4 separate regions of the Mus musculus genome follow, and regions 1, 2 and 3 are each reported to be linked to region 4. Evidence: microRNA targets listed by miRTarBase, many of them from high-throughput screens and not tested one by one. Region 4 holds a microRNA gene; each other region holds the end of a gene's coding sequence.
What was found. The annotated mature microRNA mmu-miR-759 reads GCAGAGUGCAAACAAUUUUGAC and lies in region 4 at 3,298-3,319, opposite strand. An mRNA with a match to its seed (bases 2 to 7 or 8) in the 3' UTR can be bound and repressed. Matches are read on the target gene's strand: a 7mer-m8 pairs with bases 2 to 8, a 7mer-A1 pairs with bases 2 to 7 and ends in A, and an 8mer does both.

Region 1 (7,122 bases), not on the chromosome of region 4:
TTTCTTTTCCCCTGTAAATCCTACTGTCAACAAGTGTGGCACCTGAAATGCCTGGGAGGAAGGTGCCTGGATGAAGATACAGCCCACTGAACCCTCCTTTCCACAGAGTGCGAGCCAAGCCCTATTGGCTTTTCACAGACAGCTGATAAATGGGATAAGGAGATACTGTCCTTGATTACACATGAAGGAATGAAAAAAGACCTCAAACAAGTTGACAACAAGTATGCACTAAATAAAAGACAAAGTTGAAGGAAAGTTGTCTTAAGTTACCAAACTTAATCTTTTTAAAAAATGTTCTCATTTATGATAAAAGGAACTATATTTTGGCATTTATGATACATGAAGTCTCCTCTCTTAGTTTTAAAAAGTTCATTTGCACTAGTGGTTTTGTGATCAAAGGCTTTTACCCAATAGACAAATAGGTAGAGATGGTAAATGGTAATAGATAGATAGATAGGTAGGTAGATAGATAGATAGATAGATAGATAGATAGATAGATAGATAGATGATAGGTAGATGATAGATAGATAGATAGATAGATAGATGATAGATAGATAGATAGATAGATAGATGATAGATAATTGATAGATAGATAGATAGATAGATAGATAGATAGATAGATAGATAGATAGATGATAGATAGATAGATAGATAGATAGCCCAGATCATTTTACTTATTAACTGAAAGGGTAAAACATCTCATTCTTTTTAATTTTAGGTAGGTGTAGTCTCAAATTGGCTTTTCAGTTTTTCTAGCAATCTGGAATCTCAATAGATCATCTGCGTTTTCAAGTTTTCCCTTTGGAAACCATCTTTCACCAAATACTGTGTATTTGCTTCCCAATATCACCAACGAATTACTTATGGGCTAGAACAGTGTTTGTGTAGACACAGTAGATCACTTCAGAATAGCATGGTTCCTACATTACATTATGACTGTCTACATCACAACTCACAGGTCAGCAAGGCAGGTTTAAGATTTTCAAATAATCCAGTCTCAAGTAGGGATGAATAAAGGATCTGGACTATTGAACTGTGAATTTTTTTTTTACTCCAACTGTTTGCATTTGTTGGGTTAACAATTACCCCTTTCATTTGGGAGCATTAGCAGCCACTGATAATGAAAGCCAGTGCCCAGCAGAAACAGACTAGAGGAAATTTTCTGACTCACTTGCATAGCACCAATTCATCAGTTCTGAAAATATATGAAGTGTGACTGCAGACTAATATGAGTGATTAGATTTTTGTGTGCAACAGAGCTCTTACATATAAATGAGCAACATCCCCTTCAGGAGTCCTCAGGGTGTCTGTCTGTGTGTTCCTATGTGATTGGTCTGGAAGCACTTTTATATTTCCCCTCTGGGGAGATCATTCTTTTGAATATCTTTAATAGGGCAGTTTGTCCTTGAAGGAAGAATTTGATTTTTTGGAAATGGTAAAATGTATTCATGGTACACATCTGTTGCTTGTGTCTACCCAGAAGTCTTTTTCCCAATTTCTGGTTGAAGAGACCACATTTCTTCTATTGTTTATGCTGTCTTTGAAGGTCTTTGAGAAGGAAATAGTTTTTAAATATCTTGGGAAATTGCCATTTTTTCCCTCTGGTAACTGAACCCATATTTTGCCCTCCTCCTTTTGCACTATGTCTAAGTTGTCTATATGAGCTTGACTTGACCACTGGTTGTAGTGAGACAGACAGGTAACACAGGTCTGACCACAACCATCAACTCAGAAGCAGACTTGGGACAAAAGCATTGTGGTGGTACTTGGTTCTTGGATTGGAACTGATAGGGTGACTTACTCATATGGCTACTATCATGTTGCATCAGGAAAGAATCACAGTAAAAATGGATCCAGAATTTAAGAAAGCAAACCCTGAGACATGCGCAATCATGCATACGTGTGTGCATAGCCATGAAAAACCACGCAAAGATGTCAAGTCCTGGTTTATTGTTCTGGTAGAAAAAGCCATTCTCTTTGTTTTGTTTGTTTTCAGAAATTTGACAGAAGAAACCATGACTAAATGGTGATAGAGAGTGAAAAAAAGACAACCAATCTGGACATGAGAAATGACCCCAGGGAGATGTTTTAGAATAAGGCCCGCTACCTAGGGCTGTTCCTTGTTCTACCTTTTGGATCTGGAAACCAAATAAGGGCCTTGCACATACTAGGCAAGTGCTTGATCTTTGAGATAAACCCAAATTTCTTGGTTTATCAGACTCAGGTTTTGTGGATCAAAATTTTAGGTACTCTATAGCTAAGTAGTCTTTTCTGGGAAAATCGCAACCAATTCTGGTCTTGCTCTTAAACACACACACACCACTCAGAGTTGGATTAATTTGTTTACAAATAAACTTATGGAATACAATTCATGCTGAAATTAGGAACTGCCTATAAATTGCAATCTAGTATTTCTCACTGGAAACCAGCATTCATTAGAAATCAAAAGCTGTAAGAGTGAAGTTCTGCTTACATTTCTACACCAGTTTTGCTCTCAGACAAAAATATGACCAAGGTTTACTTAGATTGAAAGAAGTGAGTTTTTGGCTCCTAGCAGGATGCTTGAAAGTCAGACCAAATGTTGGTGCCGAGGTGCTCTTTAGAGAGGAAAAACATAGCTCTTTGCCCCTTCTGCTAATTTCTAGCTTCCAGAAAGATACTCCTCTGTATGTTCTTACCTGAGAGGCCAGGGCTATACTGCTCAGTGAAGGATATATTAAGTGAATTCAGGCTGGAATATCAAAGACTGGAGTGTGGTCAGAAGCATGAAAAGAAGTATTAAATAACCTAGAACTGCCTAGAATTTGCTCAGTCGTTCTGCAATACAGTGGAACTTTTTAACAAACAAGGATCTCAGGTGATTCTGTGTAGATGTTTCACATACAGTATATAAAAAAAGGAGTCCACCCTGGGCAGAGTCTGGATCAGATGACTTGTTAGCTATATTGAAAAACACCGAGGAGATTAGACTAGTTTGTGATAGCATTTCCAAGGGTAATTAGGCCATGAGAGCTCTGACCTAACTAATGGATTAATGCCTTCACGGATTTATAATAGGATGGTATTGTTGGGAGTTCATAGGGGATGGACACTGGTTGGGGTATGTCACTGAAAGTGTGTCTGTCGGGGCTGTATTTTGCCATGGTTTCTTCTTGTATTCATCTTTTTTTGTTTTTTAGCTGTCAATGTAAACTGACCCTCCTCCCCTGTGTATGTGTGCGCACACATCTGTGTGTACACTTTTCCTCTTTTAGTTCGGAGTGACAGAGAAAACATGTTCAAGGAAAAGTATCTACTCATGTAGTCTAAAAGAGTTCTAAATTTTGGTTTGGGTCCAAGATCAAAGTGGGACAGTGGCTCTACAGGTTAGGTAATGGACTTGCATCAGTGATGACTAGAGAAAGCAGGCAGTAGCTGTCAACTATGCTGTATATTAGAACTGTCTGATGAAAGATATTCAAGACTGATGCATGGGCCATGCACCCAAACCGTCTAATTTCACCTTGAAACAGTCTGACCACTTAAAAAAGTTAAAGCTCTTTGGGTATTTTACATGCACAACCCAAAACACTAAGGTAGAGAAAATAAGTTCTTTTATATTGGAACCCTAGATGAATGCAGTATCAACACTCCAGACCATTTGCTCCAAGTTTCAGCGAAGAAGAAGGCTGTGATTTGAATTTTTATGGACACCACAAAAACATAAGGTGACAATGTTTGGGCTAGTGGTTACCTATGAACATAGTGAAAGGTGAGGAAAACTTTGATAGTCTGACATAAGCTATGAAGAAAGACACTGCGAAATAAAAATAAGAACTCTAAAACCTCTAGTCTATAGCCAACTACAATTGTTTTGACTGGAAACATTTTTCCCCCAAAGAAATAGGAGAGTTATAAACTTTTGGGGTTTCCCCCCCATTTGTTTATGCCCAGACTGAGGTGACCAGATTCTCAGTGAAGAACACATCCAAGGACTTGATTCTATTTCTTTTCTAGAAATAGTTAAGGTTAAGAGCAAAAGCGCACGTGAACCGTAGCTTTAAAAAAAAAAAATGGACAGCCAAATTCAGAATATTGAAGGAACAATGATTTTATTAAATCTGTAATGTTCTGGTACAGTTGCCAAAGTTTAGTGTCTAGTTTGTCTTAATTTCTTTCTCCATAACAACAAGGTGCATTTTGATTTTTATAAAAATTAAACCATCATGCCCCAAACAATACAATTCTTGATTTCAGAGTAATGGTAGTAATCTTAAAAATATGGTCTATGGCCAGGCAGTGGTGGCGCACGCCTTTAATCCCAGCACTTGGGAGGCAGAGGCAGGCAGATTTCTGAGTTCGAGGCCAGTCTGGTCTACAGAGTGAGTTCCAGGACAGCCAGGGCTACACAGAGAAACCCTGTCTCGGAAAAAAAAAAAAAAAGAAAGAAAAGAAAAGAAAAAAATATATGGTCTATGGGTTACTAGATCTCTCATATGAAGTGTAAAACTATGTATGCTTTTAAAATTGTGAGCTTCAAACTAAGGGTCAATGATGCTCTGGGCTAATCCATAAATTTTGGGGCAGGGCCATATGTTTTATGAAATTATTATATATTGCTATGAGATAGTCTGTGGCTTTTTATTCAATTTTCAGGGAGTTCATAGCAACAACAAGCACCACCTTCATGGCTCCATCTTCTTAGAGACTCCTTTATTCTTGTCCCTTTCTACAGTGCAGTGTTAAGAACAAGCGTGCGTGTTTGTCTTGTCCCTCTCTTAGGTTCCTCTGTGCCAGTGTTACAGACATGTGTGATACTCGGTTGGCACAATGCCCTGGCTGAAGTTGATTTGCTATTAGATAGGGCCAGCCATGGCCATAACCTTTGTTGCTTTTGCTGAAGTTTCTGAGAATATTCCAAGGAAAAATAGTCTACGTAATTTTCAGTTCAGAGAATTTGTACAGTGTCATAATTATAAAAGAGAGGAGAAGCTTGACCCACGCAAGCACTGTTCTTGCATCTAATCAGATATCAATCTTCTGAGGTGGACATTGCCAAACACAGTAAACATGCACTGCACGTAAAGATCCCAGCCAACATGGGGAAATGTGCTGAATTTGAAATGATAAAAAGTTTGTAAAAAAAAAAATGAAATAGAAATTTCTTCACTTAAAAATTTATTCAACACACACACAAATCCTAACTCCTTCTCAAGATTACAAAAATCTAAAGTTTTTTTTTCCTTAGAACATTTAGCCTCATTATGGGAAGTGATATGATTTTTAAAAAAATATCATTTTAAAATGAAATCATCTAACACTACACACCATCACCTTTTTAGGACATTGGAATAGGGCAGTTATGTACTTAATTTCATCCTGTCTGAGAAGTATATGTGATAGTGTTTGTTATTAAAGCTAATTTCAAAATATATAATGAGGATACAGTAATTTTCAGGAGGGTTCAAAACATGCTGAGTGTTGTACATTTTTTTTAAATCATCTGTACTATTTATTTACTCTTAAGTATTTAAAACATTGTTATAGGCCAGGTGGTTGTGGTAGATGTAGTTAATCCTAGTACTCAGAAGCAGAGCTCTGAGTTCAAGGCCAGCCTGATCTAAAGACAAGTTCCAGGACAGCCAGGGCTACACAGAGAAACTGTGCCCCCCCAAAAAAAAAGAAAAAAAGAAGTTATCATGATCCTTTCCCTAGTCCTGGCTGCTGTTTTCTCCAAGACTGCTCTACTGGACTGTTGTGTGAAGCAATGCATACAATTTAGCAAGGCACATATCAACTAGGTTTTTTAGATTAGATCAAACCCTGAAGAATGCTTTCTAAAGTAATTTTGTTGTCTTTCTTTTTATTCTGAAGTAGAATCCCTAAGGGAATGGTTGAAAACATACATGAAGTAGGAAGTTGGGATCGGGATCAGTCAACCCTAGCCTCCCATTCTGTGAACAGACTGTGTAGGAGCAGTACAGCCTTCAGGTACTGACTATCATGCTAAAATCTCTAACAACTTCTGTCAGGTAGATTCCTGATGTGAACGTCCTCAGGAAACCTGCCACCTGGCCTTGCTAATGATAGCCACACAGAGCCGTGAGGCTTAGCTGGTCATCACTGGGTGAGGAAGGGTCAGGGTCACTATAGATCTGAGTCAGGGCCAAGCTCAGGATTTCTTTTTTTTCTTTGTAAAATCGTAGTTCTTGTCCAGCCTTCCTGGCTTCCTCCAGCTGCCCTAGGGCTGCACGCAGCTCTTGAGAGAGAATTCCTGGTGATTCACGCTCCTTCATAATCCAGTCCAGGGCCATGTGGCTACGCATCTTTTCATCTAAAGAATATTGGGAATAGTAGGAGATGACTTCCTAGAACCAAGAAACAAAAATTCAGAGTGTCAATAAAGAGAAAGAAAGGTGCATGTGTGCAGAGCCTTCCATACCTCCCCAATCACATGGCTTTCAAACAAGTAACCCTAACTTTAAAAATCTGAAACGAGGGCTAGAGAGATGGCTCAGTGGTTAAGAACTCAATTCCCAGCAACCACACGGTGGCTCACAGCCATCATCTCTAAAGGGATCTGATGTCCTCTTCTGGTGTGTCTGGAAACAGGTATAGTGTACTCATATAAATAAAATAAATCTTTTAAAAAAATATGAAACCAATTTCCATTGACATACTTCTAAAAAGGAAATGATGAACTAATCTGGTCTTGCAAAGCCTGTCACTCCAGAATAAGTCAAAACATAACACTAAAAATTACAAAATGAAGCTCTAGAAAATGCAAGCCTGTCCTTGAAACTGTATTCCTGTAACAACTAATATAAATATAACTTAATTCTTCATTGAACCCTTAAGCCCAGTATCATTGCCTTTGACAAGACAGAAACAGGAAAGGAGCTACACAGACAAGTTGAGTTAGAATAAGATTTGGACATGCCTAGTACAGGAATGGGGAAGGACTCAGTCAAGGGGACTTCAGAACAAACAAGACTCTGAAACCCAAGACTCTACATCCTAGCTTCTGTGCTTTGGTGTGGAACACAGTCCAAGAGTGGGGTCTTGTGAGGAGAATTGTGTTTGTAAAAAAAAAAAAAAAAGCCAAGAACACAAGACTGTTGCGGTAAAGGTTGTATTTGTATT
Region 2 (7,101 bases), not on the chromosome of region 4:
ATAGCATTGGGTTTTGGTCTGGACACCAGACAAAGACGACTCAGCATGCGTGTTCATGCTATGATGAAGGCTATGTTGGTAGGGACAACTGAGCTTGTTGATGAATACCAACGATTCTGATGGCAGAGCATGCTGAGTCACCTCGTGCACGGTTCAACGGGGGTGGAATGCGAAGCCACGCGGTGTTTCTTTCGCGATCACCATGGGATGAAGGCTTTTGCTAGAGATTGCCAGCAGGCCTTAGTCACTAACAAAGAGGACGATTGCTCTTGGGAAGTACCTGGATTAGAGACTTATATGTAACTGCTGGATATGTGCAACTCAACAGTGCCTATGTGGACGGAGTTCTTTGTAAGACAGGTCCATTTTGTGGAAGTAGAACTACTAAAGATTAACATTTTTCTTAGGAATGGCAGTGTGGACCTCTGTGATGGGACATCTTGTGGGATCTCACAGCCAGGTAACTCAGTGGGGGAGGGGCATGACTAGAACATAATGACCACAAAGCCCATGATGGTATGAGAGTAGTGGACAGAAGGGATTTCTGAAAAACACTTTTCTGAGGCTTTAATTCAGCTACTGGAAAGGGTTTAGTTCCGTGAAGAAGGGGACTGACTGTTCACATCTCTTATTTCCAGTTCTGTGGCAAAGGAGGATGAAGGCTTACGAGGTGAGTACTGAATAGTAATGAGAAGTTAGGTTGAAAGGACAGTGCCACAATGATGACATCATATTTGCTACTCTTGACAGCTGGGGTGACGATAGCTTTAAACCACCATGATTATAACTGAGGCACACAAAATAATGATTTGGGGGCTACTTACAGAGTAAGCAGTTTTTACATAAAGATTCCCCCCCCCCAGGACTCGTCAGGAAGCTGGATAACAGAGCGAGCGCAATGTAAGCAATTTTGTGTGTGCATGTGGTCCCATTACAAGGAATACCCAATGGCAAATGAGCACTAAAGATCCCTCAACCCACACATTGAATGTATTGTTCCCTGAGAGCAATTGTAGATAGAGGAGTGGGTGGGAAGTCTGAAGTCAGGGCATTGTTTCTGCGTATCTGAGGAGGCTGGTTTTTGATATGTGGGAGCTAGTGGTCGTTAACGCATTTACCCCCTATTTGGTGGACTCTGGTTCCCCCATCTTAAGTGCTGAGTCAGGGGCCTAACCGGGCAGCTTTAACTATTTGTTTGTTGTAGGTGCTAGAATAGAAGACCAGAAAATGAAATGGTAAGTCAAACTAAAGGAATTGTAGATGCTAAACAGGCTTGGCTTTGTTGCACTCTGCCAAATACTGGCCACGTGTTCCATCCTGGTCATAGCTGAACACAGCCTGCATGATGACGAACAAATACTGACTACCTGAAGATCTTATTAGCTCTATCTGATGGTGGGCTTCCTTGACATTTATTGTGGGGCAAACTCAAATCTGTTGACTGCATTGAAAAGCTCTTTAATGTTTTTTTCTAGGTGGAGTTTGAGGCTGGATAGACAGTTTGAAAGGTAAGTATTGAAAAACACTTGAATTTGGGTCAGTACAAAGGGACATGCAGAGACTTTGAATCATCAAAACTCCAGCATGCATTGTCTTACGGATGTTTAGATAGGTGTGTTTTGGACAACACTCTGGGTTCTTGTAATGATGTTGATCAAATGTCTGAGCTGAAAATAACTTGTAGACAATTTTTAACACTGAAGAACCTTGTGGCAGGCAACTAAGAATAGTCGAATGATGTTTAGCATATTTGTAAGAGGTATTTTCTTTTAATTCTAGTTAACTGGTTGCATGCTTGTTCATTTGGCTGGCTTGCTTGGGTAAGAAGCCATTGGGGGCCTTGAATTCCCTCCAGTCATTTGCAGTATTTACTGCATAACATTTAGCTTTTGAACATGCATGTGCTACCATCAGTACTAAATGGTGCCTTAAATTTTTTTCAGGTACAAATAATGGTTTGAATAAAGAAAGGTAAGCATTGTAAGTTTGGTATTTACTATATGAATTAAGGTACTGTTAGTGATGATCAATAAAGTTAAACAGATGGGAATCTCTCTGAATAAGATTGAAGATTGATTGTTAAGCTGAAACAGTATTTAAGGACATCAGTAAATATACTTTACAAATACATATTTCTAAACGGAGTGTAATTTCTTACAGGTATTAATGGGTCACCTCAAGTGAAGGCACTGCAAACACAATGGTAAGTCTTTGAAATGTGCATGTATTAGTTACTTTCAACCCCTTCCAAACAAGCCGATACCATGATGATAACATAGTTCAGCAGACTTAACTCTGATGAACAATCATGTCTTTCGCTCCTATCTGATGTATCTGGCTGTAATGTTTTAAAGAGTTTTCCTTGAATAGTATTAGGAAATACAAGATAAGAGTCCCAAGTGATGAGGCCAAAGCCTGATGCTAAGGTGGCATGTGCTGTGCCACTGACTTAACCCAGTAGGACAATTTTATTGTGAAAAATACATAAGTTCCCTAGGGTATGACGATTGAAACTATAAATCTCAGGCCTCTTGGCAAGAGAATTGATGTGAGCCCATGGAGACTAGTGAAGACAACTGAACACTGAGAGAATAGTGTGAAATAAAATGAAGATAAGTAACTGCACTAATTATTTTTAATTTTCAAACAGATTGGTCATTCTGAATTTCCGGTCCTTCATTCTGAATTTCAAAGTAAGTCTGTCACTTGTTTTTGTACAGATTGTAATATAGCTTGTAACCAGTGATGTGATGATTCTGCCAAATGATACAAAGTGATATCACCTTTAAACCGTTCCATTTTATTTCTGAGGTTACTATACTAACATGTAAAATTTAACTACTCTAAGCCAGAGAAGTAAGTCAGTCTTTGTTTTCTTAGGGCTCCTGTGACAAGTGGACATGCAGTGACTGCACCTTTGTTTCTGAGGTGAGAACTGCAAATGCTTAACCGGGAACCTACTCCAGAATACATGATGATCTCACACAACTTGAACTCTCTCACTGATTACTTGATGATAGTAAAAGATCTGATGTTCTGTGTTTTAACAGTTACCATTTAAGTTAAAATTGTAGAAAAGTGTTTAACAGCTACCTTCTGTTGGTTGTTGCAGGTGCCTGGATGGAGGCTCAAATAGAAGATGGTGTCAGATATATTGTGTTAAAATTTTACCATTAAAGTGTATTATAACATGAACTGTGAAGTGTGCATTTTGTTCTGATGAGCACATTGTGGGGAGTTCACATTAGACATTTTTAAATCTATTAGCTGCCCAGTGACTGGATGGTATTGGTGTCAGTATAGTTTGTCTTTTTGTGCTTATAAGCACAAGCCATTATTTTTTTTTAAGATTTTTTTATTTATTATATGTAAGTACACTGTAGCTGTCTTCAGACACTCCAGAAGAGGGCATCAGATCTTGTTACAAATGGTTGTGAGCCACCATGTGGTTGCTGGGATTTGAACTCTGGACCTTCGGAAGAGCAGTTAGTACATCTCTCCAGCCCTAGAACACTTTTCTTATATCTTATAAAACTAAATATTTCATGGAGTATGCAAAGGGGAGTACAGTCACAAATCAGTTTGCCTGGAAATAGTTTTTTTTTCTCTTTCCTTTCTCAACACAATCTAAGATGAACCAAAAGAGAAGTGTGCTCTTACACACTGAGCCATCTCACCAGCCTCAAGCCATTATTCTGTTTGACATTTTAAATTAATAGGAACAGCGTTAACCAGAACTGGACTGACTGGTGGAGGTGGTATTTTCACTTTTGGCAGGTGACAGTGTCTGCTGAGTCTTACATCCTGAATGTCTAATCAGTTATGCAGTCTGAGTGGGTATACCAGCCCTTTAAAGGTCTGGAGATGGCCTGTAGGGGCACAGGTGTGAGGGAAAATTTGAAGTATAAACCTGGAAGGTAAAAGCCTAGACCTTGCAGTCCTGTTAAAGTGTTGTCCCCATGCCTAGGACTTTTGCAGTTATATATACCACCAGGCCTAACTCAGCATTCCTAAATTAGGAGGAACACTGAGGCTAATTGGCTCTTAGGTTTGATACTGTTCACTCTGGTCTGTTGGGCTCAGTTCTTGAGACCACGGAAACTACAATCCTTAATCTAACAAGTACAGTTTGGGATTCGTGCTGGGTGTGGTGGCCCCAAAGGAAAAGTTGAGGCTATTTTGTTTAGTCCTTTGGCTGTAGATAGTATAGGTAACTGGTCAGGGGTCCTTAGAACACTGGTTCCAGGCAAAATGTGTAGGTATTTGGAGCTGTACCTCTACAAGCTTTAGTCCCTGGGAATGGGGGCAGTGTTTCAATGCTCAACAGTTACCCTGGAACACATAGCTAAACATCTCATTTGGTGATTTATATTCTACACATAGTCTTACTGAAATGGATTTAAATTCCATCACATTCTTGGGTTGTGAGGATTTAAATTTTTCACATGCTAGTCACATACCTTTACTGTTAGTGGTCCATTTGTATGGTAATGCATGTGAAGAGGTCAGGATGACCTACACAAGTCTTCCTTTCACAATGTGGAATCCAGCTATCCAGTCATCTTGCCTGGCTGGTCTCTTGGAGGCAGGTTGCCTTGATGGGATTTCCATGTAGATCAGGCTGGTCTCAAACTTGGATCTGCCTAGGATCAAAGGTCTGTGCTTACTAGGACCAGCTGGGAGTTACTGGTCTGTTTTAAGACACCCATGGTTCCTTCTTCCAGAACACAAGGTCAGGGTTTCATTCACTGGATCTCTACAGTCACGCCCTTAGCTCAGATCTACCAGCCTCTGATCAAGTAGGGAGTCATCTGCCTCCTTCCACTTCAGCACCCTTAGCACTGCCTCATTAGGCCTTTAGATTGTGTATGATACTGGTGATTGAACCACTGAGCTGTGTACAACTGTCCTTCCAGGTCTCAGCTGCTTTGCCATCCTCCGAGGAATCGCCTAGTCCTGCAGTGAGTTTGTGTGTAGGGGATAGGGGGCAGAGAAGCCTTAGGGTGTTAAGGGGAGTGGTTTCCCCTTTCAGAGAAGGAATAGATGTTAGGGGTGGGAGGGGGTGCTGATAAACTCATTTGAATGTTTACTACTAGAGTGACATTTTTTAGAAAGGATTAGGTTTGTGACTGGAGGCTTTAAAACTGTCAAGAACCCATGCCTTTAGTCCCAGCACCAGGGAGGCAGAAGCAGCAGATCCCCAGAAGTTTGAGGCCAGCTTGGTCTACAGGAAAGAGTTCAGGACATGCAGGGCTACACAGAGAAACTGATTTTTGAAAGCCTTTAAGTAAGCAAGTTTCAGGGCTACAGAGAGTAATCCTGTCTTGAAAAACCATAAACAAGAACCACAGGCAGTGGTGGCACATGCTAATCCCAGCACTTAGGAGGCAGAGGCAGGCGGATTTGAGTTCAAGGCCAGTCTGGTCTACAGAGTGAGTTCCAGGACAGTCAGGGCTACACAGAAAAACCCTGTCTCGAAAACAGGCAAACAAAAAAAAACCATAAAAAAGAGCCCATGCCAGGAAAACTGTCTTGAAAAGCCATAAGAAAGCAAATAATTCTGTGCCAGGCCCAGTCTTCCAGCAACAGCAGGTCAGGATGTAGAACTCTCAGCTACTTCTATATCATGTCTGTGTTTGCCACCATGCTTACAGCTAAAACTATAAACCAGCACCAACTAAATGCTTTATAAAGAGTTGCTTTGGTTGTGGTGTCTCCTCACAGCAATAGAACAGTGGTTAGGACAGCTGCATTTCAGTCCTGTTTTACAGTATTTCAAATCACATATCTGCCACAAATGTAACCTCATGATTCTGGCAACAAGAGATCTGTGAGACAGCCAGGACAAGTGTCATTCACATTATATAAGCAGCTGGGGCAGCTAAGAGACATTTGTAGCTTGCTTAAGGTACAACACAATAGAATTCTGTTACTTGTAATTTTTTTTTTTGATCCTACTATACTACTTAGAACATTATATTGATGGCTGAAAGATTACCACAAAGTTTAATTTATGGTTCTAATGAGGCTAGATGAACTGAAACCTTGCTGCATTAACTGGCCAGTGTACAGAGGCAACCATGTTGTATTATCCTTATTCTAAATAACTTATCTGGGTATAGAAACATGCTTGGAAAACAGGAAGACTCTAAATACTCAATAAAGAGATTTTTTTGTTTGTTTGTTTCATTTGACAATTTTCCAATTAAAAAACTTCCACAGACAGTCCTAATGGTACACATGACCAAGTCACAATTGTGTAGCTTCTCTTTCTTACTCGGTAATGATTGCTTCTACACAGACATTTGGTTCTAAAGTCTGTGGCAGGTCTGGATCTTAATTTAAGTTTGGTGAAGCAGAGAAGACAAAAGTTAAGAGCTCAAGTGTTTGGAAGGTGTGGCGGATGCACTCTCCTCTTCTGAGTCTGCTGGCCACAAGACGTGGATATGGTAAGGCTTCAGCTCTTCTGGAGACACGGAGTCTGGAGCATTGCTCATAAGGTCCTGTCCTCGGTAGGATTTAGGGAAGGCTATGACATCTCTGATGCTGGGTGCTCCCGTGACAAGACATACCAGTCTGTCTAACCCTGTGATGTAAAATACAAAGTGAACATGATGAGAAATGTATAGCTTTTAGCTCTGAAAATAACTTTTTTGGGGGTGCGGAGGGTGTCAAGACAGGGTTTAGTCCTGGGTTGTCATGGAACTCACTCTGTAGACCAGGCTAGCCTTGAATGCAGAGATCCACTTGCCTCTGCCTCCTGAATCCTGGGACTAAAGGCTTGTGCCACCACCACTACCATTACTGATCTGATGGGCCTTTTTTTTTTTTTTCTTTCTTTTGAGACTCTGCAGCTCTGGCTGGCCTAGAACTTTGAGAGATATCCCTGAAAGCTGGGATTAAAGACATGCACCACTACCAACCTTGGTCTTTATGTAAAAGATGTAGAGAATTTTTTTTTTCCGGCCCTGGTTTCATACATTCTAGACAAATGCTCTACCACTGAGCTACATCCTTAGGCCTGTAGAGAATTTACATTAATTTTTGTTTGTTTGTTTGTTTGTCTGTCTGTTTTCTTTTTGAGATAGGATTCCATGTCAT
Region 3 (7,122 bases), not on the chromosome of region 4:
GGTCCCTTGGAGCCCCAGCTCTCCCTGCATTCTGTGAGTGAGTTTCTCTTCCTATTCATCCTCACATGAGACGCTAGAGAAGAAGGAGGAGGAAGTGACTTCGGAGGAGGATGAAGAGAAAGAAGAAGAGGAGGAGAAGGAAGAGGGGGAGGAAGAGGAATACGATGAAGAGGAGCATGAGGAGGTGAGGGGGCTTTGCTCCTCCCCACCCCACCCCTCCTTTCTCCCTTACAAGTTGTAGGCTCACAACTCTTTTTTTTTTTTTCTTTTCAAGATTTCTTGTTGTTGTTTTATTTTTGGTTTTGGTTTTGAGACAGGGTCTCCATTATGCAAGCCAGGCTGGCCAGGAACTCCCCAGAAGCCCCCCTGCTTCTATTTCCTGCTGTTGGGGTTACATATGAGTCTGCCTCCAGACTTAGCATACAAGACTCTGTATGATTGCATACCAAGCGTGTTCTGGTGCCTGAGGAGGCCTGAAGAGGGTCTCCAAACCCCTGAAGCTGGGCGTTACAAGCAGGTGTGAGCTGCCCAAGTTATCTGAACTCCGAAAGAGCAACAAAGGCCTTTAACATCCAAGCCATCTTTTATTACATGTGTGCATGAGTGTGTGTGTGTGTGTGTGTGTGTGAAATGTGTGGAGGTCAGAAGACAACTTGCAAGAGTTGGCTCTCTCTTTTCCCGTGTGGGGTCTGGTTATTGACCACAGGTCCTCTGGCTTAACAACAAAGGCCTTTTGTACTGAGCCATCTCACTAACCCTGGGCTCTCAACCCTTACACGGGAGACATTCTCAGAGAGTTGCAGTGCCACCAAAAGCCTTTCTCCAGTTCATCTATCCCTGACCTATCCTCAAAACACGGAACATGGCGGGTGATATGGCTCAGAGGGCAAAGGGGCTTGCTACCAAGCCTGATGACCTGAGTGCAGTCCCCAGAACCCACAGAGTGGAAGGACTGACCCCTGCAAGTTGTCCCCTGACTTCCACATGTGCACCAGGGCACACTTGGACACACACATATAACATACATATACAGGCAAACAAATACTTTAACTTGTATAACATGGAGCAGGAGTGACGACTCTTGGTTAAGAGCGCATGCTGCTCTTCCATAGGACTCGAGCTCCACTCTCAGCATCCACATGGTGGCTCACAACAACCGGTGACTCCAGTTCCCGGGCATCTGACGCCATTGTCTGGCCTCCGAGGGTTCTAGCACGAAAGCAGTATACACATACATGCAGTCAAAGCACCTATACGCATGAAAAGGAATGAATGTAACAGCAGGTAGAGGTGTCCCAGACCTGGAAAGGTGTGTGTGAGAAGAAAGAGCCTGGAGACAAAGAGAAGAAAACTCTGACATCACCCCTGATCTTTGCTTCTTTTTACATTTCAGGAAACTGATTACATCATGTCATATTTTGACAATGGAGAGGACTTTGGAGGGGACAGCGATGACAATATGGATGAGGCCATATACTGAAAAACCTGGGCATAGACTGAAAACCTGGGCCATAGACTGAAAACCTGGGCCCATATATCATTCTTGATTTGAGATACAGGAACTAAATATCCCTATGTACTTAGGGGTTTTCCTATTTTTGTTATTTGTTTTGTTTTGTTTTGGTTGGTTGGCTTGGTTTGTTTTTTCCAGACAGGTTTCTCTGTGTAGCCCTGGCTGTCCTGGAACTCACTCTGTAGACCAGGCTGGCCTCAAACTCAGAAATCCGCCTGCCTCTGCCTCTGCCTCTGCCTCCCAAGTGCTGGGATTAAAGGCATTCGCCACCATGCCCAGCTTTGTTATTGTTTTTTGAGAGAAGATCTCATGTAGCTCAAGCTGGCCTGGAACTCGGTATGTAGCTGAGGCTGGCCTTGAATTTTGGACCCCCCCCCACCCCCCCAAGCCTTGGGATTACAGGGACGCGCCACCACAGCAGACTTACTAGCATTTACTTCTGTTGAGAAAAAATTGGTTAGAATCCAGGTGACCTGTGTGATCCCTGGGGGCTGTGATGCGCAGCCGTTGACAGTTTAGGGGAGACTTGGGGTGGGAACAGTCAAGAGGAGTAAGGCCTGTTTTGTACTTTTAAATAAAATGTTTGTATCTGTCTAACATGTCTAACAGAGTGATGTGTACTGGGAAAGGGCCGGAGGCAAGGCTGAGGGGGTGTCCAGTCAAGCCATTCTTACCCCTGCCACGCCCCCTTTCAGAGGACTGAATTTACAGCCATGCAAATGCTAAACGGGTGTTCCATCACTCAGCCATGCCCCCATCTCTTTTTATATATTTGCTTTAGAATTTTTAGGCAGAGCTTTTGCTAAGTTGCCTAAGTTGGCTTTGAACTTAACCCTGTAGCCCAAACAGGCCTGAAACTGTCTCAGCCTCCCTAGCTGTGGTCCCAGGTCTGTGCCACCAGTGTCAAATCTCTGCGTGTCCAGTGTGACACGGGTGTGTGTGTGTGTGTGTGTGACCGCCTTGACCCTTGACCTTTACTTCTCAGCTCTCCCTTGGAGGACATTCAGGAACTCATCTGCAATGCTGTCTGAAAGCAGCGCTGGGGAAAGCATAGGCTCGCCCACAGACTACCCTAGCCTTTGGCCTCCAGCAGCACAGGGACATGAGCCTGCATAGTCAGGCACATTTACCAGGACACCAGCCCTCTCCTTTCTCACACTTGACCTTGATGGTGTCCTTATTTACAAAGAGTGATTGCAGCTATTTTTGTGCAGGGAGTCCAGAAAGCCAGGGGCCGGGAGAGAGGAGTGACTCACTGCTTTCAGCTTACCGTCTTCCAGGACCTGGAGAGCCCACTTTGAAAGGCATATTTAGGATCTCCCTAAATATACTGTTCTCTACAGACAGCCGGGGTGTGGCTTGCAGCTCCTTCTTTTTTGTTGTTCTTTCCTTTGTGGAATTAAGTTAGCCTTTCTCACTCCACTTTGGGGAGGGGGTAGGCGGTGTTATCTTCCAGGAAGTAAGGAGGGTGGGGAGGAAGGGAGTGATTTAGGGACACTCAGCTCTAAGAGAGGCTTCCTCGCCCACACAGCGCTCCCTTGGGTGAGGTCACTTCCCTGGCCTCTGATTGGCTTCTAAGGAAGGCTTCCTCGAGCTGATTGGTTGCATGCACTTGCCATGCCACAGCCACGAGTAAGTTGCGTGTCCAGTATAGAAACAGAGTAAGGAGACCTGCAGAGACATCTGCCGTGCTACCACGGGAGGCCCCACTGAGCATTTCATAGTCTAAGGATGGACTGTGTGAGAAGCGTCCAATAAGCTTCCCAATCGCTTTTAGACAGGCCGACCGAATTTCCTACAGCATCGTGGGTTAGAGAACCGAAATCCAAGGTCAGGTATTTCTGACCCCATTGTACAGGGCAAAGAGGGGCTTAGACTCCATGGAGGAGAAGCGCCTTCAAGGCCTCGTTTAAATGTGGTAGCAAGTGTTGGGATAGAAGCCCAGCCAAGAAAGCAGAGCCGGGAACAGGAATAGAAGCGAACATTCCAGAGTTATTGAGCAATTTGTGGTGATTGATGTGTTTCCTTTTCTAGCTCTCCGAGGTGAGGGAAGGGCGGGGCCAGGAGACTTGTCCCTGGGGTTTCCCACAGTTCTACAGCCAGCGACTGTAGCTAGGGAGGAAACAGCCGAAAACAAAGATCCTGAACGGTTTGGTTCTGTTTTGTTTACCTGTTGTCTTTTCCTACGTTGTCCCGTGCACACACAGTGGAGGGGAGACACCATCCTAACCCTCATTACTTAAGTCCAGGTCTATGTTGAGAGACACTGCCACAGGCTAGCCCACCTGATGCTCCTCTTTTTTTTTTTTTTTTTTTTTTAACATTTCATTTATTTGGCCAAGGGTGTACAAAATGGCGTGTGTGGGGAGCCCAGAGGACAGCCTGCTGGAGTCAGTACTCTCCTGCTGCCATATGGGTCTGGGGGCTCACATGCAAGGCTTGGAGGCAAGCACCGAATGAGCCAACTCACATCCCTGGGAACTTGGTGGTGGGACCAAAGATCCCGAACTAAAGGTGGTAAAGGAGGGCAGGACACTAGTCCCCACCCATCTTTCCACAGTTCCGTCCCTTCACGTTGCCTTTCCCCTGGCGCAGGAGAAAGGAGGACAAAGGTTGGAATGACCACTTGGGATCAGTCATGCTACCTCAAAGACAAAGTGTCATAAATATCAAGTCATTCTTGGACTCTGCCCTGCCTGGACTCCTGCCTTCCCTGGCAGGTGACCTTGTTGGACAAAGCCAGTGACACGAGACACAGCAGCTTCCCCAAATTCCTAATTGGTTCCAGGCAATAGCTAAACCATGTCCACTGACCTTTCCCCAACTTCCCACAAGCACTCCCAAACAGGCAGAGGCTGGAGCCTGGGTCCAGCAGACAGGGTCAAAGCCGCTCTTCCTGGAGAGGCAGGCAGCACAGCAGTTGAGGCCTGGCCTACTAATTTACATAGACCTAGTCAGTGTTTGCCACCCAGGTACATAATACCCATTAGGAACAGTTCTTATTGTCTAAATTGCTCCAATGCCTGGACTGCAGACTAGATTTTACAGCAGGAAAACCTAACCCATGTTCCACACCTACCCTCCCAGGCCTCACCTCCTTAGGTAGGACCCGTGAAATGGGGAGTCGGTGAACAGGTGCAAGGACTCATGTGGTTTAAGAGAGGACCAAATAGAGATCTGGATGCAGCAAATTTAGGTTGAGAGTGGAGAACAAAGAAAACTGAAGGCCAGAAGGCAGGTGGATGGAGCGATTAGGCACCGCGGTTTGGTAAGGGAAAGGTAGTTGGTTTCTGCAACTTACTTTTATGGTTGTTTGAACTTTGAAAGTAAAGAAGGGTGTGGGCTGGTAGAGAATAAAGCAGGGTGTGAACTGGGGGTGTAGCTCAGTAGTCAGAGCACTTGCCCAGCATACACAAAGTCCTAGACTTTATCCCTAACACTACAGAACTGAGCATAAAAGCGTATGCCTCTAACCCTTGGTTCTATGGAAAATTTGAGTCCAAGCTGGGGCACAGGAGACACTGTCTCAATGGAAATAAAAGAAAAAGAAGCTGGGCATGAAGTGGGTCTACAGAGTGAGTTCCAGGACAGCCAGGGCTATACAGAGAAACCCTGTCTTGAAAAACCAAAAAAAAAAAAAAAAAAAAAAAAAAAAAAAAAAAAGAAAGAAAGAAAGAAAAAAGAAATGAAGAAGCTAAGTCAAGGGGAACAATTGTCATCTCAGATAGGCAAAATATCACCCCAGGGCTTTGGTGTCTTTACTCCATAGTCTTGTACCCTTGGAATGTTGTGTCATGACCCCCCCATGCCTCAGTCTCATGTCTGGTACACGAATCTGATACATGAGCTGTCTCCTGAGACCCCCTACTCCACAGTAGGGTTGGTGTAGACTCACTTGTAAAGGTACAAATGGAACCGGGACTCCAGACGTTTGCTTGGTCCAACAAGGTCACCTGCCAGTAAAAGCAGGAGTCCAGGCAGGGCAGAGTTCACATCTGACTTGATTTGTATGACATTTTGTCTTTGAGACAGCACAACTGATCCCCAGTGGTCACTCCAACCTTTGTCCTACAAATGGCGGGACATGCCCGTTTGGCCAAGCTGTCATTCGATCTCCTTGATCTTCTCACCTTATTTTCGGCCAGGCAAGCTAAAGATACCTCAGGCACATCGCCAGTTGTTTCCAAGAACCTTTGCAGCCAGGGTAGCTGGGGACCAGCAACTCCCACAACTAGTAAGAAAGCAGGAAAACCTTATAACCGAGAGTTCAAGGTTACGACCTGCGAGTCCGGAGTCACATCAAGGACACCACAGAGATTTCAGACCAAAGAAGCGGCTGCAGATACAGGTCCTTCCTATCTGTCCTTAAACACGTCTGGCCAGAGGTGAGGAGATAAATGAGCTCGACAGGAATAGTTCTGTTATGTAATCTGACCCAGGCTAGTGTGACCTTTTCTCCATTGACTTTTCCCCTACTGAGACTCACATTCCCCCCAAGGAAATCACAAACATAGAAATTTGAAATCCCGACGCAGAATTCTAGTTTCGAGTATTATCAGCAAAAATGGTTCGCCTAATCCTTAGGATGTAATGTGTCTCTTCTGTCTGCTGCCTAGCTATAGCTACCCCAGTGGGAGTTAGCAGGCACGCACTGACCTCACCCCAGACCAGAGGGGTGAAGGTTTTCCATGATCATAGAGTCTGGGCTATTTTCTATTCAAACCGCCTCATGTCCCAGGACTATCAGCTATGGGCTGTGCTTCCTACAGCTCAGACCCCCCCCCCCCCCCCGCCCCAGTGGACACAGCCCTATGCTTCTCCCTCTCTGGATTTATGGTAAAGAGGGAGAAACATCCAAATTCACCCTGTCCCCAGCACCCTGCGGTACCAGTGCCTGCCAGGAGGATTAAACCCATGTGTGTGTTTGGCTTTGTTCATTCCCAACAGGGTCTTGGGGAGCCCAGGCTGGCCTTAAACTTGATCATGTAACACTTAAACTCCTAATCCTTCTGCCTCCATCTCCCAAGTGCTGCGATTCCGGGCACACACCACTACTTCCGGTTTGCTTTTGTTTTTATTTTATTTAAGACAGGGAATTCATTGTGGATTGCAGGCTAATCTCAGACATGTAATAATCTGTCTGCCTCAGCTTTCAAAGTGCTCGGATTGCCAGGCACAGTGGCTCATGCCTTTAATCCCAGTACTTGGGAGACAGAGGCAGGTGGATCTCTGAGTGAGTTAGAGGCCAGTCTGGTCTACAGAGTAGATTCCAGGACCACTAGAGCTACATAGTGAGAGCCTTTGTTGGAAAAACAAACAAACCAATCAACAAAAACAACCACCAACCCCTCCCCTCCCCCCCAAAAAAAAACCCAAATAAAACCAAATTAAAGTGCTATAATTATAGGTGTGTACCACCACACTTGGTTTATTCCTATCTTGATGTGAGTTTTTCCGTTTGTCCGTGTGCATATGTGTGCTCATGCATGTCTATAAGTATAAAGGACAGAAAGCAGCCTAAAGTGCTATTCCTTGTGTATGGTCTACCTTGTATGCATTTGAAGTAGGATGGCTGGACATTGATCTCAGCAACCCGCCTGTGTCCATGT
Region 4 (7,122 bases):
TCATCATGGCAGGAGCATGGCAGCTTGCAAGCATAGTGCCGGAGGAACTGAGAGTTCTACATCTTGATCTGAAGGGAGCCACGAAAAGACTATCTTCCACATTGGGGACTCAAAGCCCACCAACACAGTGGCACACTTCCTCCAACAAGACCACACCTCCTAATAGTGCCACTTCCTATGGCCAAGTATTCAAATGCATGTGTCTACGGGGAACAAACCTATTCTAAGCCACCACACCATCCCTGCTGGTAACTGAGCTATCCCTATACATAGAACCCTTCAAGAGCAGAACCCAGCTCACACTGCTCTGGAATACATAGGTTGAGTGGCAACCTGTTGGGACGGTGAGGGGAGACATCCACTCAGATGTTCTGAGCCCCACCAGTTTGAAGTAGATTAGTCCCAATCACTTGTGAGCTGTAGGACGACAGTCATAAAGAATTGAGGATTTCTGAACTGGGTGACAATTCAACACCCGTCTTAGCTTTTATGAGCATCCATGCCACCTGGCCAGATCTGTCAAAATGAAGAGGAAGAAAGGCTTACGTGTTCAAGAGAAATGAAAGGCATAGAGGGGGAAAGGAAGAAAATTGCCAGGCAGATCTGTGAAGCCGTGCGGGTCTCGCCCTTCGGCTTTCTCCTTTCTTTGCCCTTGCTCAATTCCACTGGGTTTACTGACATCCTGGCATTAACTAAATTATGATTCAAAATCCGTTCAAGCAGAAGAACTCATGGCTTATCTGTAAAATTTGAAAAAGCAAAATTTAATTTCTTTTTTTTTTTTTTAAGCTGCAATGTTATAAATGCAACCAAGGAACTATTGGTGTGGGCTCAGTGACTGGAGCGAGCAAATGCATGGCTTTAATAGTCACTCTCAGAACCCTGGAGGTGGGCCTCCGGCAGTACCCAACAGGCTGTCCCATGATCTTTTCAAAGCTCCACACTAATGAGCTGCCAGCATCCACACAAACAGCCCTGTAAGAGGAGAACAGTATAAATGTGCAAAGCAAAAGAATGAGGTTTGAGGAGAGGTGCTAAGTTTTCCCAATGGCACAGTAAAGCCATAGGAGGGCCACAACCTCTGAGCCACCTCTACGTGACCCCATAATCTAAGATTACCCTCTTAAATGAACCCCTGCCACACAACCCACTCTTAAATCTAACATGCCAAGGGCAAGCACAGAAGCAGAAATGTCACCAATAGAGATAGACTTTAGCTAGACCACATACAACGTCCTTGTGCATATATCTAAGGTCACCCTATTTTTTCTGCATGGTTCATGAACAAAAGGGGTTTTGTGGTTTGGTTTGGTTTGGTTTGGTTTGGTTTGGTTTGGTTTTGGTTTTTATGTGCTTTGCTGTTTAACTCGCATGCATGTCTGTATGAAGGTGTCAGATCCCCTGTAACAGACAGTTGTTAGCTGCTTTAAGGGTACTGGAAATGGAACCTAGATTCTCTAGAGGAGCAGCCAGAGCACATAACCACTGAGCCATCTCTCCATCCCGTGAACAAAATTAAAAAAAAAAAAAAAAAAAAAAAAAACAGCCATCTCCAGAAAGCTGTCTTCCTAATGAACTGAGTGGCACACTATTCCACATGGATGTGGGGCCCAAGGAGTTATTTCTGTTTGCTGTTCTTAGTTTAACACAGGATGTAAATCTAATTGGAACGGTTGTGATTCACATCTGGAATTTTCCAATGAATAACCCATTGCCTAATTGGCCCCTTGAGTTAACAAACGGTTGCTATTTGGTGACTGGGTTGTTTTTTTTTAATCTGGAACAACATTTTGTTGCATTTAGTTCAACATTCTTTTTAAATTTAATTTAATTTAATTTTAATTATTATTGCTGTTATTTTTGCACACAGAACAATGCTAGATATCAAAGGAAGGAATAAGAGAGGGATGGGGAATAAAGATAAAGGAGGTAAAGACTGGGAATGTAGTTCAGTTGAGAAGAACATTTTGCCCCAACTTTGCTCCCTAGCACGTCATAAATTAGACCTGTAACTCCAGGACTCGAGATGTGGAAAAGGCAGCTCTGGGTCATCCTCACCTACATAGAGTTCTGGGTTAGCCTGAGATACATGAAGTCTTTAAAAAAAAATCCCAAGAGATAAATAATATACTGTTTTCTACATAATAATATAATTAATATTATTTATAATAACATAAATAACATACAGTTTTCTGTCTCCAGAAACATGAGTGCTGTTTGTATGAATAAGAAATGAAATTGGACATGGAGCCAAAAATATCAGAATTAGAAGGAAAAGACAATGAATGCTATAGCAGGGGTCAGCCAGAGGCAAGAGAATAATTACACAGATTTACGAAGGAGCATTTGAAGGAGTGCAGATCATAAAGACAGAATAAAGTGCGGAGGTGAAGGAGAGATGGGCATTCCAGGTGGGCGGAGCAGCACATTAAAGACAGATTCAAGCAGACAGGCTAAGGAGGATGAAGTTAGAAGTGTAGACTGGGGTCAGATGGTGAGCAGCTTTGAACGTGGCTCTGCAGGCATTGGGGAGCTACCAAAGGCTTTGTAGTGAGAGAATGGAGTGCTCCCCTGCCAGCCCCAAATACCTGAGATACTTCTAAAAGAGAGTCGAACTGCTTTCCTATTTAAATCACTGCATTTGGGAAATAGATCACTTAGCCCTAATTTAGCACAAGAATGCCCTCATTTTACAAAGGAACCGGAAGCTTAGAGAAGACTTAGCCAGCATGCTCTATCAATCCGTAGCAGAACCAAGACCAGTCAAGAGAATCATGCCTGAGCATTCCCCCTGCCCCAAAAGGTGTGATGATGTAGTTGATGATGGTGGTGGTAGTGATTTGAGGGCAGTGGAGGCAATTATTTTGGGCAAGATGCCTTGTCATTCGTATCCCTCCTCCTCTGTACATTTTCCATTTTTAATGGAACATGAAACAGATTATCCACGTAATCACTTTAACCAATTATCTGTAGTTGATGAACTTCCCTGCAACTTAATTAGCAAAGTTGTTTCCCAGAGTAACAGTAGCACAGCATCATCTAAAAGTCACTTCAGAAAGATGGAACAATTCATTAACAATTACTAATGTCTGCAGGGTTGAAGGATGTACAGTGTTCATTTGGAGAACGAGGAAACCACACGTAATGGCTTTCTCCGTCCTGGTTTGTCGCGCTTTGTGTCCACGAGATGACTCACGTTGCCAAAGCCCGAGTTTAATTAGCATGCTTAGTCTGTGCTGCTACCTCCATTGGAACAAATTAAATGTTTAAACAGCCAGTGCAAACATTTAGATCTGAGTCAAAATTGTTTGCACTCTGCCAGTTTAGGCATTTAATTTATTATAATCCTGCCCATAATACATGCCTTGAAAGTCATTTTTTTGTGTGTGTGCTGAAAAATACCGTTCATATTCCAGCTGATGATATTGAATCTGATACTATCAGAATCTGATGTGAGAACTAATTTGGACCACAGACGAGGGTGATAAATGAGATAATGAACGGATCCTCCTCTGTCCTGACTTCCCCAATTGACCAGGTGATAACAAAGACAGGTGCCACCCCAGGGCCTGCCTTCTGCCCTGAGCATCTCTGCTGCAGCTGAGACTGGCTGCAGCCTGAAGAAACAGGAACCTTGCAAGGCTTTGAGCCGTTTCGTCTTAAAGAGCCCTCATGGAACCTGACCTCTTCTTCCCCGCAAATATTTTTTTTTCAGAATATAGAAATGTGCTGGCTTTCCGCAATTCCCCCTAAAGTTAAAGTGCACTGGTAAGAAAAAACTATAACAAAAGATCCATTGAAATAACACCAGATACAGTGGGAGAGGTTTCAGGCTGGCGGCCTAAGAGAGTGAGGAAGACAGTCCAGAAAAATGACCCTCTGGGGTCCCAGGTGACCACAAGGTGGCAGTGAAGGTCTACTGCGCCTGCCTATTGGCACCCCCCCCCAACCTCCACCCCCAAACCTGACTTCTATAATACCATGACCCTGGGTAACCTACCTCCTCCTCCCCAACTCACTTGAAAACACAGACATCTACTAATCCTAAGTAAGAGACAGTGGTGTGTTTGTGTGTGTGTCTGTGTGTGTGTGTGTGTGTGTGTGTCTGTGTGTGTGTGTGTGTGTGTGTGTGTGTGTGTGTGTGTGTGTGTGTGTCAGTCCACAACTGAATGTCAGAGGACAGCTTTGTAGAAGTCAGTTCTCTCCTTCCACCTAAGTGGGTTGTGGAGACGTAACTCCAAGTCGAGAGATTTACATGGCAAGTATCTTTACCTACTGAGCCATTTGGACAGTCCACTTTCACATTTTAATAAAGATTCCTTCTTGTTTTGTCACAAATATCTTGGAAACTGGAAAATGGGTGGAGCTACCTCAACAGCTCCTGCTCAAAGAAAATGTGTTGAGACAAAGAGAAAGATGTTAAGGACTGTGGTTATGCAAACACACTAGATCTCCCCTTCCTTAGTGATAGAAAGCAGTGGGGCTGCTTCCTCCTGTCCCAGACATCTCGTGCAGTGATCTTTCCAGACACAGAAGAGTAGATCCAAGCCACCTAGTCGGGAAGAGAATGAGATTCCGTTAATCGGCAAATGTTTTGTCAAAATATACCAGGCAAGGTCACTGGAAACTGATTGTTCTGTTTTGGGGAACTAATCAAGGGTCCTTCAAGACTGAAAATCTGGCTCTCTCAGCCTCCATTCCCTGCTTGGAGACCATTCAAGGTCTTCCCCTGAAACATTCCAGGCTGTTGGTATCTGAAGCCCAGTCGGATTCCATAGTGAAGCTCTATCTACCCCCAAGCCTGGCTGGTGGGGGAAGGGAAGAAATCCTGCCAATGTGCTATTTCTCAAAGCAATCAACCGTGAGCAGTACGGCTTTATTTTTTTATTTTTTTTTTTTCCAGACAGTGCTGTAGTTGAGACCCAGGAGAGGGTTTTCTGTGAAAGCCCGGTCTAGGAGGTGAGTATTCAGAATCTTATTTAGCCGAATGCTAACCGAGAGGACGAACTAAGAAATAAAAGATAAAAATCCTTTCCCAGGTAACATCTGTACTGAGGATTTTTTTTTTTTAATGCTTGAGGTTTGTGATTAGACTGTTTCAAACCACACTTTAGAAAGTTAGTTACAAGTAGCATCATGACTGAGAATTCACGATGAGCCGGACAGTAAGTTGCATGCTTGTAGCGACTCTTACTACAACCTTAATAAGGAAAAAAACCTGGCATTCTCCCCTCTGTGTGTAGATGCCCAAGCTGAGGTTTAGAGGGAAAGCTGGGTAGGTAGACTAGCCGGACTGCTAAGTACAACAGTCAGCTGAGAGACCCACCTGATGGAGGAAGATGCCCGAAGTCACATGTAAACAGCCACACTCACAGCTCCTCAAGGCAGTTTGTCTTAACTCCAAATCTCTGTTTAGTTTTTTTAGCAACCATTGAAGATGAGCTTTTTCTTAGCTGGGATGTATGGAATTAAATGTGTTTAATACTAATAAAATAAGACCAACTTACTAAAGTTCTTTATGGTAGACAAGACACTAGCAATCAGCTCTGTTTCTGTGCAGTTAGCAGTTAGCAGAAGGTGGCTGCTGGTCCTAGGCTCTGCTTCAAATTCATCAAGGAGATTCCACGCTTTTGGAGGTAGGGAGCCTACCTGTTAGCCTCAGCCACCATTTATGAGCCTTCCCTTTGTCTTAATACTCAGGACACACAGAGAATGGTCTAGTGTTCATTTCTGATGCTCACCTTGAGCAGTCCCCAAGGAAATGCTTAATTCTGAGGCCGAACTTGGAGACTATTATACACACACACACACATTCCTGGCCAAGATGTGACTTCATAGTCATCTAATCAGAAGAGAGAGCATAACTAAAAATCAATGAACTCAAGAAACAACAACCGTGGCTAACTTGGTGAACCCTTACGAGAGTATAAAGAGGTTGGTCTATGACGGTTCATTTTACAGGTCAGAGGATAAGGGGAGCGTCTTAACAAATCTGCACAGCTAGACAGAACAGAGCTCTGATTGGGGTCTACTATGCTGGGTTTACTTGTCAAATCTCCACTCTCTCTCCCTCACTTTAGCTGGTAGGAGAAATTAGGGCAGGAACCTTGTTGTCTTCTGAAAAGCGGTTCAGTCAATTAACTTAGTTTTTCATTGCTGCTGTTTGAACGAGGATCTCACTATGTGACCCTAGCTGACTTAGAACCTCATGTATCCTACCCTGGCCTCACACTTGTAGCCATGCCCCTGCCTCTCTACGTGCTAGAATTATAAGCATGTACCACTACCATCTTAGACCTTAAATGAAGTTTAGATCTTAATGTGCCCCCAAGGTCCTCCTTGTTCATCACATTGGAACTATTGAGAGGTGGTAAAACTTTTAGGAGACAATCCACACAGTAGGCATTTGGTCATTGGAAGCAAGCTCTTGAAGGGGACTGTGAGACCTCTGTCCCTTTGTCTTCTTGGGCATGAGAAGAGCAGCTCCTTCCATAATATGCTGCCTTGCCCAAAGCAGTAGTAGTACCAATTGAACTGGAACCTTAAGAACTGTGAGTCAAAATAAGCTTGGTCACAGGCATTTTGTTACAGTGATGGAACACTGACTAACACTGTTGTAATAGGAGCATCCTCAGTGTATCAGTTACTTTTTGATTGCTGGACTAAAACACCGTGACCAAGGCAGTGTATAGAAGGAGAGATTTATTTGGGGCTTACAGTTTCAGAGGGATAGGAGTCCATCACCATCACGATAGATGCACAGCAGCAGACAGGCAGGCAGGCAGGCATGGCACTGGAACAGCAACAGCTGGTAACTCACATCTTGGTGCACAAGCAGGAGGCAGAAAGCACACCAGGAATGAATGGCCAGAACTCTTTTGAAACTTCAAGTCTACCTCCAGCAACATATCTCCTCAGACAAGGCCATACCTCCAAATCCTTCCCAAAGAGTTCCACCAACTGGGAACCGTGTTCAAACATATGCATCTGTAGGGGCCATTCTCATTCAAACCACCACACTAGACTAACCACTAAAATAAGAGTTACCATTGAGTCTGATGTGTATATGTAGAGTATTCATGCCTGTGTGTTCATGTGGGGGGCATATACGAATGGGTATAT

Region 1: miRTarBase lists Lix1 as a target of mmu-miR-759. Seed matches in the 3' UTR shown: 7mer-m8 at 4,358-4,364 and 7mer-A1 at 4,233-4,239.
Region 2: the mRNA of Dars2 is a reported target of mmu-miR-759. Seed matches in the 3' UTR shown: 7mer-m8 at 5,429-5,435.
Region 3: miRTarBase lists Polr3gl as a target of mmu-miR-759. Seed matches in the 3' UTR shown: 7mer-m8 at 1,689-1,695.

Annotation. Positions count from the first base shown.
Region 1 is chr17:17,456,331-17,463,452 of GRCm38, reverse strand. It overlaps Lix1 (limb and CNS expressed 1), which reads right to left. Exons shown (of 6, transcript NM_025681.2): 6 at 4,066-6,347. The coding sequence ends at 6,060. Among named protein-coding and RNA genes, the nearest start is that of Gm41537, 32 kb to the left of the region's middle.
Region 2 is chr1:161,035,345-161,042,445 of GRCm38, forward strand. Dars2 (aspartyl-tRNA synthetase 2 (mitochondrial)) reads right to left here. Exons shown (of 17, transcript NM_172644.4): 17 at 5,257-6,586. The coding sequence ends at 6,372. Gas5 (growth arrest specific 5) reads left to right here. Exons shown (of 11, transcript NR_166052.1): 2 at 408-460; 3 at 639-670; 4 at 864-900; 5 at 1,205-1,235; 6 at 1,476-1,508; 7 at 1,944-1,971; 8 at 2,161-2,203; 9 at 2,651-2,693; 10 at 2,881-2,928; 11 at 3,113-3,195. It overlaps Snord47 (small nucleolar RNA, C/D box 47), which reads left to right and starts at 2,748; the gene lies at 2,748-2,812. It overlaps LOC115487643 (a small nucleolar RNA gene), which reads left to right and starts at 50; the gene lies at 50-129. It also overlaps LOC115487678, LOC115487638, LOC115487644, LOC115487677, LOC115487645 and LOC115487640.
Region 3 is chr3:96,572,860-96,579,981 of GRCm38, reverse strand. Polr3gl (polymerase (RNA) III (DNA directed) polypeptide G like) reads left to right here. Exons shown (of 8, transcript NM_027241.4): 7 at 71-184; 8 at 1,394-2,110. The coding sequence ends at 1,480. Among named protein-coding and RNA genes, the nearest start is that of Gm15441, 9.6 kb to the right of the region's middle.
Region 4 is chr14:79,734,657-79,741,778 of GRCm38, reverse strand. Mir759 (microRNA 759) reads right to left here and starts at 3,348; the gene lies at 3,251-3,348.